Linked DNA regions of Mus musculus. The protein of the gene in region 4 purifies or fractionates together with the protein of the main gene of each other region. This does not show direct contact. Links are inferred from orthologs where the notes say so. Each region holds a gene or a part of one and is shown on either strand. Other genes may lie near its edges.

Region 1 (4,466 bases), on a different chromosome or scaffold from region 4:
AAGACAGCTACAGTGTACTTACATATAATAAATAAATAAATAAATGAATAAATCTTAAAAAAAAAAACTATTAAAAAAAAAAAAAAAAAAAAACAGGGCATCTGTATCATACCCTATCCTTCCCAGGTTCCAGAGATTAGTGTGAAAGAAGAGATAAAATAATTTAAGAGCCAAAGGTAGTCTACAGCAAAACAGTGTTCTTCTTAACACAGCAGGGTGCTTGGGCATATGAATTCACAGCCACTCTGATTGCATGCATAAGATCTGAATAAGATAAAGCCAGACAAAATCCTAGCATAGGACAGACAGGGAGGTGGTCAGGAAGTCACTTCCCTAGCAGAAAAACTACTGACAATTGATGGTTAATGGGAGAAAGTTAGTTTTCATCAGGGGTGTGGCTTTTGAGAGGCTACCCACAATCCAGCAGATAGCCCTACACCCAAGTACACATTGGTCACATTAAATGGTCTAAGTGTTTTTTTAAAAAAAGAGAACACATTTAAAGTAGGAGGAAATACTGGTAGAAAGGACAGGAAAGAAATTAGAGGGGAAGAAATGTGGAGTGGGTTTAATGAAACACAGTACATGCAATTTTCAAACAAACAATATATATATATATATTTGAAATATATATATTTGAAATATATTTGAAATATATATATATTTCAAAGCCCAGGTAGAATTTCAGATGGGCTAGCTGGAGAGATGGCTCAGTGGTTAAGAACACTGACTGGTCTTTCAGAGTTCCTGAGTTCAATTCCCAGCAACCACATGGTGGCTCACAACCATCTGTAATGGGATCTGATGCCCTCTTCTTGTGTCTGAAGACAGATAGTGTACTCACATACATTAAATAAATAAATCTTTTTTAAAATCACATTATTTTTTAAAAAAAGTTCCAGATGGGCATGCGTGTTTACAGTGGTATGAATGACAATGGACTCCAAAGGTTCCTATGCTTGAATGCTTGGCCCCCAGTTAGTTCAACTGTTTGGGAAAGACTGGGAGGTATGGCTGTGTGTTGCTGTGACCTTGATAGATGAGGTGTGTCACTGGAGGTGAGCTTTGAAGTTTCAAATGCTCAAACCAGGCCTGGTCAGTCTCAGTCTCTGTTTGTCTCTCTTTCGGATCAGGTGTGAGCTCTCAGCTACTGCTCAGTACCATGACCCAAGTACGTAGCTTCCCTAAGGACCCTGAGCAAACCTCTGAATTTTCTCAAAGCTTCAATATTTTCATTTGTAAAAAGTGAGATTAAGGGCTGGAGAGATGGCTCAGCTGGTAAGAGCACTGACTGCTCTTCTGAATTCAAATCCCAGCAACCACATGGTGGCTCACAACCACCCTTAATGAGATCTGACACCCTCTTCTCGTGCATCTGAAGTCAGGTGCAGTGTACTTATGTATAATAATAAATAAAATCTTTGGGCTGGAGCAGTCAGGGACTGAGTGAGCGAAGTTGAACAGAGCGAGCAGAGCCGACTAGAGCAAGCAGAGGTCCTAAAAATTCAATTCCCAACTGTACAGCTACAGTGTACTCATATGCGTAAAATAAATAAATAAATAAATAAATATTTTTTAAAAAAAAAGGAAGAAAGAAAGAAAGAAGTTTGGGCATACTCATTCAGTCTAGAATTTTATAATCCACAAGCATCTTGAACGTTTAAAATGTAATGAAATCATCACACAAAAATTGGCACACAGAAAAAAAAAATTGGCACACAGAAAGCCCTTCAAACAAGATTTACTAAAAAGAAAAAAAAAAACCGAAGATTAACATATCCAATTGAAAAACTGTAAAGCTGCGATGTGACTCAAGTTTTGCAAAAACTTTTTTAGAAAACACGTTTTAGAAAATAGTTCTGTCCTCAGGTACGGTGAAGCAGGTCTCCAAATCAATAAAAACAAATGAAAGTAACTCCACTGAGAAGTGAGGAACTGATGACGAAAAACACACACACACACACACACACACACACACACACACAAAACGTTTGGTAATTTGCATATGGAGGTAACCACACTAACTATGGGGGGGGGGGGGGAACTACTTCAAATGTTACCTACTTCGAGATAAAGGAAACAGGTGCTACTCAACTTCTCCTCCTTGAAAAATATCCCCTCTGACTAACACGACTCATGTTTTATGACTGTGTTAGATAACAGAGTTAAAGACGGCTTAAATCAGGGTTGGCCATTTCCCCTCGGATCCAAAATGCCTTTGCAACCTGATAGCTACGAACAAAAGGCCCCTCTATCCTGTCTCTGCAGAACAGACCCCAGTCCACTTCCACCCAGCAGCGAATGCTCAGAGCAAGACCTGCTTCTGCAAACTCAGCAAGGCCCGCGGGAACTCAAACTTTGTAAACTCCACCAAGGGTTTAGGGGACATGGGAGCCTCTAGGAAGGGATCCAAGGGAGGTGACACCAGTCAACCCTCGGAACCAGAAAAGCATCGTCGCTGGAGGGCGTGTCGGGCAGCTTGGCGACGTAGCACTTGGCGGGACAAGGCCATTCATTAGCTGGCAGGGGCGGCGGGGCTGCGCTGCCAGGCCACCCGCCCGTGCCACGCGGCGCGAAGCTCGGCAGCCGCCCCCTCCGCGAGTTCCCTCCCCGGGCCCCGCTCCCCTGCCGGGCTGGCAGGACGCCTTCGCCGTCGCCCTCACCAGTCGCTAGATGAAGGTGCGCCGGCGGTCTCCGCGGGGCAGGCGCGCGGCCGCGCAGGGACTCATCCTTAGTGAAAGCTACCGGGGACAACGAAGGGAGCCAGGAGCCGGGACGCCCGAGTCAGCTCCGGGGACGGCTGCACGGAAAGCGACAGCCGCGACTGTCGGCGCCGGGACCGGGTTCGGGGAAACCTGAGCTAGAGCGGGCGGGACTCGGGAATAAGACGGGCGCTGATTGGCCGGAGTTCGTGTATGCCCCACAGTGATTGGTCGGGGCCTGCCCACAAGGCCTAGCGTGGCAGTACCTCAGCTGTGGCCTTTCCCTAGTATCCCAAAGGAGCATGACCCCTGCCGGCCTTGGTGCGGTCGACACTGGCTGCCGCCCTACACTCAGAACCAGTACTGCCCCTCTTGGTGCCAGATGTCACCCTAGGAGATCTGTCTCCCCGCAGGTCGACACTCGGAAAGGAGGTTAAGGCTGGGATGGAGGAAACAAGGAACTGGCTGGATGCCCAAGCACCACTCCGTAGAAACGTGGGCATCTTAGAAAAGTTGCTTCCCGGATCACTCGTAGTGGGATAACTGGAAAACCAGAGGTGTCCTCTCCCCAAGACTGGGCCCTGCTGCTCTGTGCCCCGCCTGTTGTGCCCGGATTGTCTGAGTGTCACTCTCTTTTTGTCAGAAGGCGCCATAGATTTTTCAGATCGCCACTGTGCGACCAGCTGCTGACTTGGGTCACATCTGTCTGCCTGACGCCAGGCTTACAATAGGTTTTCCTCCCTGAACTCTTAAATCTACAAGCCATTTTAAAGGTTGCAAATTGTGTGCCAATAATCAGTCCAGAACGGAAAACATACTCCTGCTGAAGTCTGATACAGAGGCGCCTTAGTAAACATGTGTTCAGGGAGGAGTAGCATGACTCAGAGAAAAACAGCACTTGGAGCCCAGAGTTGTTTGAACCTCGGCCCTGTTTGTGTTGCTGTATGAGCCACTGACACCATCATCTATTAAACGGAGTTAAACTCAATACCCTCTTAGACTGCTTCAGCCCAATTGCCTGTTTTGTAGACTTTGTAGGAAAGTAAGTTGCTAGATCAAACTGAAGGAGAGATGGAAACAGACCTAGCTCCCCAGCTCTCCTCCCAGTGCAAGGACTTAATTTGCTTTCTTACTTCCTACTCTGACCCATTCTGTAATGTATAAACAGTGACTTGGAAGGAAGCTGTGTACACACTCATGAACAAAGACGCTCAGTGATCTGGAAGCTAGTGATGTAAATAAATGTGTTGCCCTGAGTTCACATCTTTTATCTGTCTCTTCTTTGTATTGGGTAAGTCATTTAGGTTTTCTGAAGCCTTAATTTCCTCATCTGCAAAGTGGGAATGGAATACATGTTGCTGTAGTGAAAATGTGTTGATAGACGCCCGCAGCACTTAGCAGAGTGCCAAGCACACAGTAACACCACCTAGAAGTTGCCATGTCTCAAACGCTTGTAAGCATTGGGGGTACAAAATGTCCATACGGCCATAATCATATACACAAAAATTAATTGCAACTTTAACGAATCTGTGAAAGAAAATAAGAGGTTTCATCTGACCCCCCCCCCCAAAAAAAATGACAAACTAGGGAAGAAGTAGAAAATAACTAGGTGAAGCAGAAAAAGAAAGACCAGCATCATGCCAAGGAATGAATGTCTTTGCCGTTGGAGATGGGGGACGAAACTGGTCCTGCTTCAACAAGGATCAGAAAGAGAATATTAGAAAGCTGCTTACAAAGTAAAACTTATCAGCCACAGTTGCCGCG
Region 2 (3,691 bases), on a different chromosome or scaffold from region 4:
CAACGTACCCTATGTGTGTGACTGCATCTCTGTTTTCACACTCAGTAGTCCATATTGCTATCTTATCACCTTTAGCTCTAACATTAACAACAGCTCCACACACATCATCACTGTAGTCATCGAAAGATTCTCCAATAAGGCACAGCAGCTAAAAATAAAACAAAAAATAACAAATTACATCGAATATATATATATATATATATCATCAACAACTTAGAAGCAAACACAGGACTCTTCTATGTATAGTTATAAAACTAAATAAATCGGATTCTAAGTCAAGAACTGACATCTTAAATTGGTCAGGAGAGGCAGCATTGCCAAATTTGAAGTCATCCTGATCTAGAGACAAAAAAGAAAGCAAATGAGTAAGATTTGACTCTGTTTTGTTGTGAATGGAGACAAGACACACATGCTGTGGCAAATCAATGCAAGAAGAGGACAACGCACAGCGTGTGAGTTCTGGGAATTAAACTCAGGTACTCAGACTTGGAAGCAAGCACCCTTACCTGCAGAATCACAGAGCAGCTTAAGAACTGATAAAAAAACAAACAACAACAAAAAACTCCAACCTATTTATTTTTAAGAATATTGGTATTCTGCCTGCGTGTTTGTCTGTGTCCAGATCGCCCAGAACTGGAATTACACAGTTGTGAGCCAAGTGGGTAATGAGAATTGAACATCCATCATCTCTCCTTGGTTAAGAACAGCTAGTGCTCTTAACTATTTAGCCATCTCTTCAGTCCCAAGAACCAATTTTTAAAATGTCTATATTTTACTCGTTTGCATTGTTTTTTCTCTTGGCTTAAAAAAAAAAAATTCAGCCGGGCAGTGGTGGCGCACGCCTTTAATCCAGGCACTCTGGAGGCCAGCCTGGTCTCCAGAGTGAGTTCCAGGACAGCCAGGGCCACACAGAGAAACCCCGTCAACTGTTTTACCTCTTTCTGCACATTAGGCGCACAAAAAAGGTGACCTCATTAGCCTCAGATGCTCGGATGCTTAGTTACCTTGCAGACAGCGATCACAATGACAGCAATATATTTATGCTCCCATTAATTGCCATTTCCTAACAGTTTCAAAGTAGAGTTCAGTGGTATTAAATACACTGAGCAACTGTAACTCAATCCATCACATTATTTTTCAACCTATCAAACTGAAATGTCCTTTTTCCTACAGCAGCAGCACCCAACCTGTAGGTCACAACCCCCTTGGGGGTTAAACGATCCTTTTAAAGGGGGTGCTTAGGACCATTAGAAAACACAGACATATAAATTACAATTCATAACAGCAGCAAAATTTATGTTATGAAGTAGCAACAAAAATAATGTTCTGGTTGAAGGTCCCCACAACTTGGGGAGCTGTTTTAAAGGGTTGCAGCACTAGGAAGGTTGAGACCCACTGGCCTAGGGCATTCCACAATGGTATTATTTACTCATACTCTCCTCCAAAAGCATGATTAAATCTTTGCTTTAATAAAATGTTACTGATCCATGTAAGTACTTATTCACTTAGTCAGTGCTAACTGTAAATCAGTACTGAGTCTAAGTGGTTAAAAAAATAGCATTAACTATGAACTTCAGTCCCAAAATTACAACCTAGAACTTGACCACAGAAAATGCCTAGTTTCATAGTATAGCTCATAAAACCAAAGGGCTAAAGTATATCACAACACATTATTTAGTTTTAAATATTAACCAACAATGTCATCACTTGCTTCACTAATTTCAAATTTTCAGAATTTTTAATTACAGTAATACTATAAATGGGTTATAAAAAGTCCACATTAATCACAATATAAAGTCCTATTATTTTTGACTAATGAGATAAGAGGGGGGAACCTGATTGTAGAGGTAAAGTTAATGTCATTCACTTTTTACTTTATTTGCTTAGTTTTTTGGTTTTGAGACAGGATTTCTCTTTGTATCCCTGGGTGTCTTGGAACTCTCTAGACTGGGCTGGCCTCGATCTCACAGAGATCTGCCTGCTTCTGCCTGCCAAGTTCTGGGATAAAAATACTGCACCACTGCGCCTAGTTTGTCAATCATTTTTTATGACTTGTGGAATGATAGAAATCATTCACTGGACTCACATGTTTGAGATACGCACAGGATGGATAAAAAGTCTTCGCCAACTAGCACATGTCTATAATTAAAAAGTTGGAGGCAGCAGGACTCTGAGCGGCAACAGCAGCCTAGCTGGGTAGTAAAACCCTGTCCTCAAAAAGCAAGGGCTGTGACTTATTCAACAGGAAAGGTCACACCTGAACACACTAAGATCCTCCCCTCAGATGTGTACAGGTATTTGCATTCTATGGTAGTTTCAGGTTAGTATAAAGGTGTGGGTTTCCTCACAGCATCTCTGCTAGCTTGTTCTCACGCACCCCTCCCCATATCTGACCCCGACCTCCTCCGTGCTTCACTCCTAGTACATGTCTTCACTGTCCTGCAAATACAGATTATGTAACACACTCATGTATTTAAAACCTAAGTTCCACATGAGAGAAGACGTGCCATCTTCTTCCCAAGTCTGGCTTATTTCCCTTAACATACTTTCCAGCTATGTCCAAATACCAAAACGCTTCAGGGATTTAAATGTCATCCTTGCACAAGCGTGGTACCAATTTCTACTCGTTCTGGTTTTAGTAAATGTGATGCCACGTGAGCACAAGGGCTTCTTTAGAACAGGGGCTGTAAGTAGAGAAAGGCAAACATATCCTAAAGCCTTACTGTCTCTAGCCAGAAGCGATCGAGGTCACTCCGTCTCTGCTGCTTGTTCAGTGTGATCAGCCACCGTCCTCCTCGTTTGTTTTTCTCATCTTCCCACATAGGCTCAATCCCGTCCTGCAGGAGGAGAAGGCAGCATTAGACAGCACTGGTACTCCGAGACACAGTATTAGACTCAGCAAGCACCACTGACAACTTTTCTTTCGTTCCCTGTACCCCTGCCACTGGCACGGCTTTTAAACATACACAAGAACTACACGCCAGAGGCATGCAACTGCGCAAGCGTCCCACCTCCTTGTGAATTCTCCAACTGCAAAGCTTCATGTCACCTAAAGGTTCTGAAAATTCCCGAGCAGAAACCTTTTAGAAGCTACATTAAAAACTATGTAATTTGAGCTAACTAACGTCCTATCCTAGCACCTGACAAAGGTCTGTTTATAAATATCTCATGGGTTTAAAATTAGCTGACGAAGTCAGTCTATTCAAGTATATCCAGGAAGGGCTGCACAGAATTAGCAAGGCTCGAGTCAATCCCAGGATGTTCCCATGAGTAACTAAATATTACCACAGAGCACTGTACTCAAGCCTGGTAAAGCCAACTGCCTGAATTTGTGGCCAGTTTTTACAAATACCTGAATGGTCTGGTCCTGTAATAAATATAAACAATCATTGATTAGGCATACCTTAAAAAGTGAGTAGTCACAGCCAGGCATTAAATTACTAGACAACTGGATATGGTTGTATAGACTAGGTAAAAGAAAATAATAATTAAAAACATAATATGTAATGCAGGGTTTGGGTGCTTACACAGACACACACACATTTGGAAAATACGAAAACATAAAAGTATGTAGATTTGTTTTTCTTTTTTTGACTCTGTATGTAGTTAATTTCTGAAATGGACACAACAGGTCTAAATAATGATTACACTCAAAGAAATTTATAATGTAAACTAATACAAACAACTATCT
Region 3 (4,491 bases), on a different chromosome or scaffold from region 4:
TTTTTTTTTTTTTTTAAGGGCCCGGTGGTGAGTGCCTATAATTCTAGTACTTGGAGGGTAGAGGCAAGACAAGCAGGAGTTCAAGGTTATCCTCAGGCACGTGGAGAGATGAGGCTAGCCTGAGCTACTTAAGACTCTCTCAAAAAGAAGCAAGCAAGCCAACAAACCCAGAGAAACCAACGACCACCCCAACTCTGAAACCCACCAATGTAGCAGGAGTCAGGACACTAATCTTGTTTGTATGTTCATGTGTATGGCGACCAGGGGACAACCTCAGGTGTCTTCTTCTGGTGCTGTCACCTTTTATTCTGGAGACAGGGTCTCTCACTGGCCTGGAACTCATCAGATGGAGTGGGCTGTGACCAGTGAGCCTCAGGGAACTGTTGGTCTTCACCTCAATGCTGGGACTGTATACACCTCTCGCACACCAGACTTTTCCTGAGTGAATTCTGGAGTCTGCACTTGGGTCCTAACGTTTGCAACTCAAGCACACAGGACACAGGACACTAATTTTACCTCTGTCCACGTTGGTCATGTGACCTTGGCAAAGTCTCCTGTCAGCTTTGAGCTGCCTCAAAAAAAATTTTTTTTTAATAGTGTAGATGATAGCTAAACTTCTTTGGACCCCAGAGTCTTCATTTGTAAGAATAGGTATTTACCTATTTCTTGGGATTATATGAGCTAATGCAGTACTCCATATCTGCACAGTTCGGAGGTGTCTGCGACTCCTTTTCTGTCAATGTTACTGTGTCCTGGGGACAATGCCTCTATTGAGGGGCGCAGGTGTGGTGTGCAAAGTGTGAATGGATGTGGGGGGAGGAGACCTTATCCACAGGAGTTAGCCAAGCAAAAGAAGATGGGCAGCCGACTACAGGTTGTAGTCAAAGGCCCCTCCAGTCTTGGGGAAGACTGTGGGAAGATATCCACTCTACAGAGCTTAGGGTCAGTTTCTGGCAAGGCAGGCCATTTTGCATCCTAGAAGGGTAAGGTTCATCCTAGAGAAGGTGGGATCCCGTTTCTGAATCCGCTCCATCCCTTCCCAGCCAGGCGACCTTGGGGCAGTCACTTTTCTTCTCCGGGGCCTCCTCTGCAAAATGGGGCTCCTCGTTCCATTTCGCACTTTGGGCATCTGAGGACGACGTGTCGACATAATGCCCATGGCTGGCGACGTCAAGGGCCGGCGAGTGGCATCTGTTATGTTAATAAGTCCTTGAGGCGGGCGGGTTCCTAACTGTCGGTTTGTGCTCTGGCTTAGCGGTTCCCTCCGCAGCGCCTCGGTTTTTCCGCTCCGCCGCCTCTCGACGCTTGCTTGGCAGGTCTCGACGGACCGCGGCCTCGGGTGCCGTTACTATTGTTCTTCGAGGCTGAGCTCTCTCCCTACAGACGTGCCCTTCGGTCTCTCCCTCAGCTCCGCACCGCGCCGCGGAGATCCTCAGCCGTCCCGGATCACCGATCTTTCCCGAGAAAGAGTGTCAGCTCCTGCGGCGTTCCCGAACAGCGGCCGAAGGCGCTCCCGAGCGCTCCCGAAGAAGCCCGGCCGCTCGCGGTCTCCGGAAATAGCCGAGAGAGCTTGCCACCCTCGGTCTGCCGAGTCCTTCCGAAAAGGGCCGAAAAGCTCCGAGCGGCCGTCCTGCCGGACTGCTGGAGGCGGCCGCAGCGCCATGTTGGATGCTCTGCTCGTTGAGTGAAGAAAATCCGTCCGCATCGCCCGAGCCCCGCTACCGAGAAGGGCGCCGCTTCCCCCGGGGAGGGGGACAGAGACCCCCCGCCGCCGGCCCATGAGGATATTGCCGTGAAAGGTCCGGTCTCTCCGCCTCCTGCCCCTGCCGGGTCCGGCCCCCCCCTCCCCGGGGTCGCGTTGTCACGGAGACCGGCAGCCGGTGGTGCTGGCCCGCGGGGCGGCTGCTGCTGCCCGCGGCGGCGGCGGCGGAGGCGGCGGCGGCGGAGGGCGTGTGTGACCGGTCCCGGCCCCCTCCTCCTCCTCCTCCCAGCCTCCCCCCGGCCCCCCGCTCCCGCCGCCTCCCCGGGTCTGCCCCCATCCCGCCCCTCCGCTGCCCCCGGCCCCTGCACCCCGGCGCGCCCGGTCCCGCTCTGGGGGGGTTGGTGGCTTCGCTTTGCCATGAGTTTACCGCAGAAACCGGCTCTGAAATCAGGCTCAGCGGCTGCAGCAGGAACCGGACCCGGCACCGGAGCGGCGGCGGCGGCGGCGGTACCGCCTCCTCATCCGGCGGCAGCGGCGGCGGCGGCGGCAGTAGCGGCAGCGGCGGCCCCTCCTCACCCGAACATCAGGGCCCTCCAGACCCCGGCGCCCCAACAGTATCCTTTTCACCTTCCGGCGGTCCAGAGCGACCCTCGGTGGGAACCTCCTTGCCTGCCGTCATAGCCCGGCCAGAAAAGGGACGGGCAGCCGCTCTGCTCCCGGCTTGACCCGAGCTTTTGGGGTGCACCGGTGACAGCATTGCTGGGGACCCCGGGACCCTCTGCGGTACCGTGAACACTACTAGCTCCACCGGGCCGTGCCTCTGCAGCTCTTGTGGATCTGGGGGGAACCCTGCCCTTGGCTGCTCCCTCCCCTTTCTTGGGCAGAATTTGCTGGTGCCTAGGACCAGCCCTGCGGGCAAGGCTTTTCTGACTGTTGGGAGGCCCTGCCTTCTGCGGGGCTCGGTAGCCTCTCTAATTATTATTTAGGATTCATAGCAAAGTTTATTGCTAAATTTTCTGTTGGAAACGAATCAGCTCATTCCTGAGGTAAGTTGGGTCTTCAGTCTTTACTGCAAGTGTACAAAAAGCACCCCCCCCCGCTAGTGTTTTGTTTTATTTTATTTTATCGTATTTTATTTTTTTAAGCAATTAGAGTTGTGTTGTGGCTTGTGGTGGAGCCGGCTAAGGAGGAAATGTTACACTGGGCGCTTCCCTGTCTTTGACCTTTCTAAAGGAAGAGGAAGTTAACTCACATTACCCAGTACCCCCAGAAGTCTCACTTCTTCTAAGACTGGTGTTAACGCTGTATATCTTTTTTAAAGGGCTTTAGTAAGTTTGCTGCTCCGTAGGGTGGTGTCTGGAGGGTACCAGGGCTCCCAAGGAAGGGTCTTAGTTTTGAATGTGTCTTAATTTCATGGTATAGAAGTTGGGGCAGCTTTGATTGAAAAATCTTGGTACCTGGTATTTAAGTCAGAATAAAACGTCGAATTCACAGCTCCTATGGAGTAAAGGAAGGTGATACTCCTTTGGATCCCCACTGGGTTTCTCTGTGTAGCCCTGGCTGCCCTAGAACTTGCTCTGTAGACCAAGCTGCCCTTGAACTCAAGAGATCCGCCTGCCTCTGCCTCCTGAATGCTGGGATTAAAGGTGTGCGTTACCATCGATGGGCAAGCAGAGGTGTTGTTACCTATCTGAGAATAACATTTCATCATCTCCCCCGCCCCCACCCCCCATCCTTGGACTTGTGAAAAATGGACAAATGATTTTTGGATGTTCCCAGTGCTGTGTGGTTCTTGTGTTTGACTTGTAAGTGGTGTTGGGGCTAGTCATTTCTGTGTAGTTTGATTCTTGTCTGTATCAATTACTTTGAGAAGGGAAAAACACTTCCCCTTCTTGGGTCACCTCAGGTCATTGTTTGTTTTCTGTCCAGCGTTCTTTCTGTGTTCTTTACATATTGTTAGTCCACATCTTAGTGCTCCAGTGCTATGTGTGGAGTGATTTCATAATGTTCTGACCCTGCCCAGTTCTGTTCAGTTTCTCGCTTGCTCGCGGCTGAGAATGTTGCGTGTTCATGGAGAACCCAGTTGCTTCTGACCCACATGCGCAGCTATTGGCCTGTGAAGGAGCAGGTCGGCCGTTCAGCCTGCTTCGGGGTAGAATTGGGTCGCTTCAGTCTACCTAGCTTCACTTTCATACTTGCTTCGAATTCCGTTCTAATTTTAGGGTTGTTTTTCTTGATGGTCTGTCTGTGTTGGTAGGTTTCTGTCTCCGGACCAAGTGAGTTGTTCCTTACCTGCCTCTTTAAGCTGTTAGGGAGTTAACCAGAGGGATTGCACACTGTGTGTTCTGGACAGACAGACAGACCAGCAAGTAAGGGATCATAGTGTTGTACGTGACAGCGCTTGGTGAAGTTGGTGGCTTCATTGGATACAGAGCGGGGGTGCTGAGTATCCCAAGTATGCTTTTGCTCCTTAGAGCTCACAGCTGAAGGACTGGAAAAACTTGAAGCTGGTTACAACTTGGAAGTCGTGGTTGGACCTCCAGTTAGATTTTTATCTTTTCTTTAAAATAGAAGGAAGATGCAGTTGGGAAACAGGAAGGAATAAGGTGTTCTCTGCAGAGAAGATTATTCTAAACCCTTCATGGCAACCTTGGAGCCAGCCGTGCTGCTTGGAGGTTCTATTTTGCCCCATGTCATGGCGGCTGACATTTTATACTTGATGTATTCTACAATTCCTGCTTTACTCCGGCAAGATCGCACAGCTAAATAAGCATCTATCGAGATAGTAA
Region 4 (3,179 bases):
TCACACGGAACTTACCTAAGCAAAACTTGCTCTACTTGGGAGCTTACAATGCAGCAGAGAAATGGGAAGCCCTTTCCTCATTGGTAAGAAATGCAACCCCACCCATGCACTCCAATCCTAGCACAGGAGGCCGAAGGCAGATGTAAGAGGTCAGCTTAGCCTATTTATTTAGTTGCAGGACAGGAAGAGCTACAGAACAACCATCTCCCTACATCCCCAAGGTGAGTTGACACCTACATCATCTGGGCTAGGCCTAACCAACCAGTTGAATTTTTTTTTTTTGGTTTTTCAAGACAGGTATTTTGTGTAGCCTTGGCTGTCCTGGAACTCACTTTTGTAGACCAGGCTAGCCTCGAACTCAGAAATCCACCTGCTTCTGCCTCCGGCAGAATGCTGGGATTAAAGGCTTGCGCCACCATACCCAGCCAGTTTAAGTCTTAATGCAGCAAGTTTCACTCATGTCTTGTGCCTAACACTGAGGCAAATTACCAAATGTTAGTAATGTGGGTCATTTGGTATTGCAGGAAGCAACATGGCAAATTCAGTAATCAACTAGTATGGGGGCAGGTGATCCACACTAGCAGGTAGGAGGGAAGGGAAAGAAACAAGAAGCCCAAACAGGCAGTTTCCAAGTAATTTTATTCAGAATTTTGTGTTTGTTTCCTGAATCAATAAATACTATACAAAACAATGTAAAAATGGCTACCATTTTCTCTCCCCTGCTCCCCTCACCAGGGGACAATTCCCTGGACAACCTCACTCAGGGGTTCTCCCTGTAGATTTGGTCCAGCAAATGAGGCCAGCCTTGTTTTTTAGCCCCTTGACTCACTTTTGGAGATTTGGCTGGGGTAGGAAAGCCTTTAGGAACGAGGTGACTAGGTTAGGGAAATGCATTAGTGTTTGGGGGGGGAAGGAGACGGCGCCTGGGGCAGAGCCTACCCCAAAGAAAAGGGTGTCTAAAATGTTCACGGTTCCTTCTTTTTGCCTCAAAAAGTGACATTTATTCATAGAGAAAAAAAACTGAAACAAAAAAAAAAAAAGCCAAAACAAAAACAAGATGTCCATCCCTTGGCTCCCTCCCCTCCCCCCTCCAGCTCTTCCTTAGCCCCACCCCAGGACTGAACCCTGGGCTAGGGCCAGGTCGCAGGACAGCCCCTCAAATGAGGTCAGCAACGTTGAGGGGCATCTCTTCAATGGAGGTGTTGTAGAAAGTCTCAATGTCTCGAAGAGTCCTCTTGTCTTCTTCGGTCACCATGTTAATAGCCACACCCTTACGACCAAACCGACCACCTCGACCGATTCTGAGGGGGGTAAAAAGGATGATGGAACACTTGGGTTTCAGCATAGGGGTTGTTTAGTCTGTCAGACCTAGACTTACCTGTGGATGTAGTTTTCCCTGTTGGTGGGAAGGTCATAGTTGATGACTAAGGAGACCTGCTGCACATCAATGCCTCTGGCCTAGGTCAGGAAAGAATATAGCCATCAGAGGATACAATCTATCCTAATTAAGTAGGCATACATGTAGGCAGCCAGAGGAGGGCAAAGGAAACAAGAGTTTCTTGTCCACCAGAGACCTCAGGCACGCCTGGTTTTCTTCCAAGTTGCTACGTTCCTGAAAAGGGCACACAGTCAGCCCTTTGGAGAGGGAATCACCTTGGACTAACTTAACTTGTCTTCCTTTCTTTCCCTGAAAGCATCTACTCACCAACAGGTCAGTGGTAATTAATACTCTGCTAGAGCCAGACCGGAACTCCCTCATGATCACATCTCGTTCCTTTTGGTCCATATCTCCGTGCTGGAAAACAAAGAGGTAGAAGCATTTGGCACAAGGCTCCCAACACAGACAGACACACAGAGACACATAGCCATTAAAACTCACCATGGCAGAAACAGTGAAATCTCGGGCATGCATCTTCTCGGTGAGCCAGTCCACCTTCCTTCTGGTGTTGATAAAGATGACTGCCTGGGTGATGGTCAGCGTCTCATACAAGTCACACAATGTGTCAAGCTTCCACTCCTGGAGATTCAGAAGTCAGGGGTTACACTCAACAACTTACTACCAGGTCTGCCTCCTGCACTGGGCCTCACCTCTCGTTCCACATTGATGTAGAATTGGCGGATACCCTCCAGGGTCAATTCTTCCTTCTTGACAAGAATCCGAATAGGGTCTCTCATAAATTTCTTGGTCACCTCAAGGACATCAGAAGGCATTGTAGCAGACAACAAAACTACCTAATGGGGAAAACAGCAGCCATGATGAGGGCACTGTACATTCCTCAGATCACAACCAAGCCCCTTGTGTCCTATCAACCTCGCCATTTGTCCACCTGTGTGTTGCTGTTGAGCTTCTGGAATATGTCATAGATCTGATCCTTGAACCCTCGGCTTAACATTTCATCTGCTTCATCCAGTACGAACATCTTGATGTATTTGGGGGCTAGAAGGCAGAAGAAAAAACACCAACACATAGTGATCAGACAAATGTGAAATACATGGAAATCTCTTGGTAAGAGGGCAGTCAAAGGGCAGATGTCTGCTCTCAGAATACAAGGACTGATCCTTTGCCCAAAGCTTCCCTGATAAGCCAGGCAAAAGCCCTGGTAAGTAGAACACTACCTGGGCTAAGGTAACAACAGGGAAGCCAGGCTCAGATGACACGCATGGGGTTCATCACAGAGCAACTCAGTTCTAAACTAAAGGAAAACTTGCATCCAAGAAAATGACATGTGGGAATGCCCACCAACTGTTACATGGTACTCACACAGGTATCTCCGGTTAAGCATGTCAAACACCCGGCCAGGGGTACCCACGATGATATGGGGAGCTTCCATCTGCAGCTTCTGCACCTCAGCACGCACATTGGTGCCCCCAATGCAGGCATGACAAGAGGCACCCATGTAGTCTCCTAATGCCATAACCACCTTTTGTATCTGAATGCAGAAGAACATCTACATTAACTCGGGCGGTACCCACGTAATTCTCTCTCAATCCCAGCACTACAACCACAAATGGCAGTGCTGAATCCCACCACACAGGTTCACAGTAATTTCCCCACCCCTACATGCAGCCTTGTAAAAAAACACCAGGCCAGCTCTACAAAGGCTTAGAAATCACTCTCCACCCTACTACCACATTCCAAATCCAAAGGCTGGGATTATGAACATAGCCTTATACCAACA
Region 5 (4,221 bases), on a different chromosome or scaffold from region 4:
CAGCCTGCTAAGCTGGATCTAAACTTAACAAGACACAATAAAGAAAAGCCCAGCTTCCATACAGACTAGACTCCTTCCCAGGAGCTCAAAGTGCTCCTAGCCTGTAACTAACCATCTGCTTCTCCTGAGAAGCGCAGAGCAAAATATCCTCAGAACGCAACACACTGCTTCTTTCCATTTGCTTGGGTTTTTTACACTTTATTGTGACATGTATAAATGTTTTTTGTGTATATGTGTACCACATGATCACTCCTGAGTTACAGAGACTTGTGAGCCATCATGCAGGAGCTGGGAATCAAACCCAGGTGCTCTGGAAGAACAGCAAGTGTTGAGCCATCTCTTCAGCCCCCTTCTATCTGTCTTGTGATATAGGGTCCCAAGTACCTCGGGCTGGCTCTGCACCCTCTATGTAGCAAGGGCTAACCTCAAACCTCTACCTTCCAAGTACTGAACTGCTGGCATGCACAGCACACTAGAGAAAACAACTTGTTCATTATCAGTAACAGAATAGGAGGCATATACTGATGTGAGGATTCCACACTGCTCCTCCTGGTAGAAACCAAAAGGCTGTTTCTCTTCTCACCCTGATGACACTGTGACACCCTGATGCCCAAAGCCAGATGGCCTTAAGAGTTCCAACCATTAAGGGCCAGATTCTCATTACTCTCCCTTTCCCTGCATACACTGGACGGGACCCACTGGGCTCCTAGCAGACTTGTTGAAGGCAGGCTGGCCTTGCAGTCACACCAGCCAGCATCCCCTGACTCCTATAATCCCCAATTCTGGAAATAATATACATACTGGAATCTGTGAATTAAACGGGTTCAAATATTCTTTAAATACTCATCTTGCAGTAGACTGACCCATTTTCTTCCCAGTACTTACAACCAATTCTAATTCAAACTCCAGTTCTAAGAGAGCCATCCAATGGCCTCCATGGGCACTAGACACACGGGCAAAATGATCCTGTGCAAAATTTCAATTAAAAACAAATAAACAAAACAAAACAGACCTTTGAAAAGGGGAAAAGATGCTGGTAGTGCCTATGGGCAAATGGTTTAGCTCAAAAGACGCTTGTTGGGCGAGCAGCAGGACTTGAGGTAAGATCACTCCTGTAGGCTAGCACCCAACTCAAAAAAGCTGGAGGGGCACGGAGCCGCATTCCCAGTGCTAGAAAAGTACAAGGACCTACGTGGCCTGCTGGCCCAGCCAAATGGTGAGGTCCTGTCTGAAACCATGAAGTGACAGGGACAGCCCAGACCCAAAATAGCCAAAGGAACCAAGGATTCAAAAGGAGCTTCAAAGTCAAAGCTTAGGCTCTAACATGGGGAAAACAGGTACATTAGCAAGCACTGGAGTCGGGCGAGAGTGGGAACCCAGAAACCTGCTCTACCCAGATAAACGTCCTCAAGGCTGGAGCCTATAGATTCCTCACATTAGTTTATCGGCTTCTCACTCTTAGCCATCTTTCAAGAAATAAGCCAGGCATGGTGACTCACATCTCAAATCCTGGCAATCTGAAAGTGGAGGCAGAAGGATGGGGATCAAAGACAGCTTCAGCTTCATAAAGAGCTGGCCAGCCTGGACCATGCCAGACCCTGTTTCACAACAAAACAAAACAACCCCCACAAACATACAAAAGGATTAAGTCAAACAATGGTGACATCAAATGACGACCTCTTGAAATATTGTAAGTTCTAAGTTGACAACTATATTGGGGCGCTGAATTTTCATGGTAGTTCAAAAGCAATTGTTTGGGAGTACATGTCTGTAGGACCAGCACCGTGAAAACTGAGAAGAACCAAGAGTTCAATTTCAGCCTGAACTACATAGAGAGGCCCTGTCTCGTTTAAAAAAAAAAAAAAAAAAGTGGTGTTCTTAGGCCCTTTGGCCCTTGGTATTAGCCACACCAACACATGAAGGAACTGGCTCAAGTGAAGTTGAAACGGCAGAGGAACACATGCTATCAACTGTCAAAAAAGATTTTAGGAATCTGGCTCCTGTGCAGGTAGACAGAAACAATGCCTTTAAAAAGCCAGTCACCATAGAAGAAATCATGAAGTAAGCGGCCAAACGAACAATGTGAAAAAGCAATGGTCCAGGGTACCGACCTAGTAAAAGGAAGCAGGTTGGTAATGTGCTTGGGTCCGATGGCAATGCCTTACTACGGAAACCATTGGGAACACAGCAACTGGTCAACCCTGGAAACCCTTGGCCAGGAAACTGGAATGCCCCCAGATAGTCCTGTTCGTCCTGCCCTCCACCAACCCCCAGGTGCAAGGGCTTGCCGCAGAAACGGACTCCCCAAATGGTCCCCCACTGTAGAGGAAACAAGATCGTTGTAACCGGGAGACCTCGCGCCCTGGCCGGGGACACGATCGCCCTTACCTTCCTCGCTCACGTCGTCTACGAAATCCTCGGGGTCGCTGAAGGAGGGCTCATCTGCCTCTCCGTTCTCCAGAGCCCGCGGCTCCGCCTCAGCCGCGCTCCCATCAGACCCGCCCTCCTCCTCCGCTCCAGCCGAGGGGTGCCCCCGGGCCTGCTCGCCAACGGCCTCTGCCTTCCCGGGAGCAGAGGGCTCCTGCGACGGGGACCGCTCCGCCGACTGCGGCGTGGGCGAGGCGGCCGGACTCGTCGCCGTTTCCTCTTCGGATTGGGCCGCCGGCTTGGCCCTCACTTCGGGCTCCGGTCCGGCCTCGGCGTCTTCTTCGGCGTCTTCCGTCTGCCCCACTTCGGACCCCCCAGACCCTGCCGCCTCGTCCGTCGGCGGCGACTCGGAGGCCGGCTGCTGCCTCGCGGGCTCAGCCCGCTCCTCGGCCGCCTCGGGCACCGCCACGTTCTCAGCGTCCTGCATGGGCCCGCGCTGCTTCTCACCCGGCTCGGCCGCCCTGCTTCCGACTCCCAGAAGTCACCGCGCGCCGCTAGCGCGGAGCCATGTGCGTGCAGCGATGGGATCGTACCAAGATGTGGCTCGGGGGAGACACCCACGCCCTCATTCCTCACGATCAGCCCGAGAAAACTCAGATATGCATAAAAATCTAGAAACAATTAAAATAATAAGTTTCAAGATATGCAAGTTTATTTATAGCCCAAAAGGTTTTTTAAGGTAGCAAATAAATTCACAAGGATATGTGGCTCCCCCATTCTAGCTAAGAAATAGTTGCGTCCAAGATGGTAGAAGTTCCTTTGCCTCTCCCAGCGGGCGCTACGGGGAAGGACTGTACTATCTGGGGAGCATCAAGTGGATTCTCAAATGATTAACACGCGTAACTGTATGAAGACAAAATATGTGACCATAAAATAATGCCAAGACAACTGAAAGCTCCACACATGATTCTTTGTAAGCTTTGCTTTTAATCAGACAGACTGCTTGACTGACATGACTGGCTTCGCTCCCCCGTAAGGTCTTGCATTTTAGACCGGTCCACTGACGGGGCAAAAGAACGAAGGGTTCCAAAATTACGCGAGGAGCTCGCCGACAACCAGGGGCCGCCAACACACACAAGAATGACTGCCCGCACAATGCAGAGTCGTGTGATGAGCGGCTTTAATCTCAATGGCCATCCTCACTGCAGCGGCTCGCAATTTAGCGTTGGCCCCAGACGTGAAAGTCACTGTGATTCTGTCTGCCGGTGACTGCGGTCTTCACGCGCGGGAGAGCGCGATCACGTGGGCCAGCGTGGGGTGGACGGGACGGAACCTTCGTGGAGTGACCAGGGGGACCCCAAGAGTGGTTTGCTTGAAAAGATAGTCAAGATTTTTGATACTTCCAGTTCAAAGTTTCGAAAATCTTAATAAGAACTAGTTGAGGGGACTAAGAGCTTAAGAACACAAGTTTCGCTCTCAGTACCCATATGGTAGTTTACAACCATCTCTTAACTCGAATTTTTTTTTATGCGTATCAGTGTTCTGCCAGCAAGTCTGTCTGTGCACCGTGTACAAGCGGAGGCCGAAAGAAGGCATCGTATCACGCGCAGGACTTAGAGTAGACAATTATGAACCGCATGTCGTTGCTGGCAATAGAACCCAGGCTCTCTAGAAGAGCAGGCAATGCTCTGAACTGTTGAGCCTAATTTAAAAGACAAAACAACAACAAAAACAGTTGAGTCACCTCTCTGGTCCCAGATCATTCCTAAGAAAAAACAAACAAAACTTTCCTTTTTTTTTTTTTTTAAAGGACCTGTTAGTTGACCAGGAAGCATAGACTTGGAATCCCAGCAC

Evidence for each region.
Region 1: the proteins of Eif4a1 (region 4) and Ibtk purify together in Homo sapiens (co-immunoprecipitation; 4 studies listed by BioGRID and IntAct, counting the BioPlex papers as one, with this or other methods). This does not show direct contact. The link is inferred for Mus musculus from reciprocal best matches to the Homo sapiens genes EIF4A1 and IBTK.
Region 2: the proteins of Eif4a1 (region 4) and Eif4e purify together in Homo sapiens (affinity purification with mass spectrometry; 8 studies listed by BioGRID and IntAct, counting the BioPlex papers as one, with this or other methods). This does not show direct contact. The link is inferred for Mus musculus from reciprocal best matches to the Homo sapiens genes EIF4A1 and EIF4E.
Region 3: the proteins of Eif4a1 (region 4) and Eif4g3 purify together in Homo sapiens (co-immunoprecipitation; 6 studies listed by BioGRID and IntAct, counting the BioPlex papers as one, with this or other methods). This does not show direct contact. The link is inferred for Mus musculus from reciprocal best matches to the Homo sapiens genes EIF4A1 and EIF4G3.
Region 5: the proteins of Eif4a1 (region 4) and Eif3b purify together in Homo sapiens (affinity purification with mass spectrometry; 4 studies listed by BioGRID and IntAct, counting the BioPlex papers as one, with this or other methods). This does not show direct contact. The link is inferred for Mus musculus from reciprocal best matches to the Homo sapiens genes EIF4A1 and EIF3B.

What each region holds. Positions count from the first base shown.
Region 1 is NC_000075.6:85,746,468-85,750,933, forward strand, and holds the start of Ibtk (inhibitor of Bruton tyrosine kinase), read right to left. Parts: upstream 2,868-4,466; 5' UTR 2,664-2,867; intron 1-2,663. UniProt on the Homo sapiens protein: Acts as an inhibitor of BTK tyrosine kinase activity, thereby playing a role in B-cell development. Down-regulates BTK kinase activity, leading to interference with BTK-mediated calcium mobilization and NF-kappa-B-driven transcription.
Region 2 is NC_000069.6:138,550,039-138,553,729, reverse strand, and holds part of Eif4e (eukaryotic translation initiation factor 4E), read right to left. Parts: intron 3,468-3,691; coding exon 3,404-3,467; intron 2,838-3,403; coding exon 2,724-2,837; intron 149-2,723; coding exon 9-148; intron 1-8. UniProt on the Homo sapiens protein: Acts in the cytoplasm to initiate and regulate protein synthesis and is required in the nucleus for export of a subset of mRNAs from the nucleus to the cytoplasm which promotes processes such as RNA capping, processing and splicing.
Region 3 is NC_000070.6:137,991,829-137,996,319, forward strand, and holds the start of Eif4g3 (eukaryotic translation initiation factor 4 gamma 3), read left to right. Parts: upstream 1-1,627; 5' UTR 1,628-1,799; exon of another isoform or gene 1,800-2,119; coding exon of another isoform or gene 2,120-2,316; exon of another isoform or gene 2,317-2,748; intron 2,749-4,491. UniProt on the Homo sapiens protein: Component of the protein complex eIF4F, which is involved in the recognition of the mRNA cap, ATP-dependent unwinding of 5'-terminal secondary structure and recruitment of mRNA to the ribosome. Functional homolog of EIF4G1.
Region 4 is NC_000077.6:69,666,317-69,669,495, forward strand, and holds the end of Eif4a1 (eukaryotic initiation factor 4A-I), read right to left. Parts: intron 2,931-3,179; coding exon 2,762-2,930; intron 2,680-2,761; exon of another isoform or gene 2,536-2,679; intron 2,438-2,535; coding exon 2,328-2,437; intron 2,233-2,327; coding exon 2,089-2,232; intron 2,018-2,088; coding exon 1,880-2,017; intron 1,796-1,879; coding exon 1,706-1,795; intron 1,661-1,705; exon of another isoform or gene 1,518-1,660; intron 1,459-1,517; coding exon 1,379-1,458; intron 1,302-1,378; coding exon 1,157-1,301; 3' UTR 620-1,156; downstream 1-619. UniProt on the Homo sapiens protein: ATP-dependent RNA helicase which is a subunit of the eIF4F complex involved in cap recognition and is required for mRNA binding to ribosome.
Region 5 is NC_000071.6:140,417,994-140,422,214, reverse strand, and holds the start of Eif3b (eukaryotic translation initiation factor 3 subunit B), read right to left. Parts: upstream 2,911-4,221; 5' UTR 2,855-2,910; coding exon 2,389-2,854; intron 1-2,388.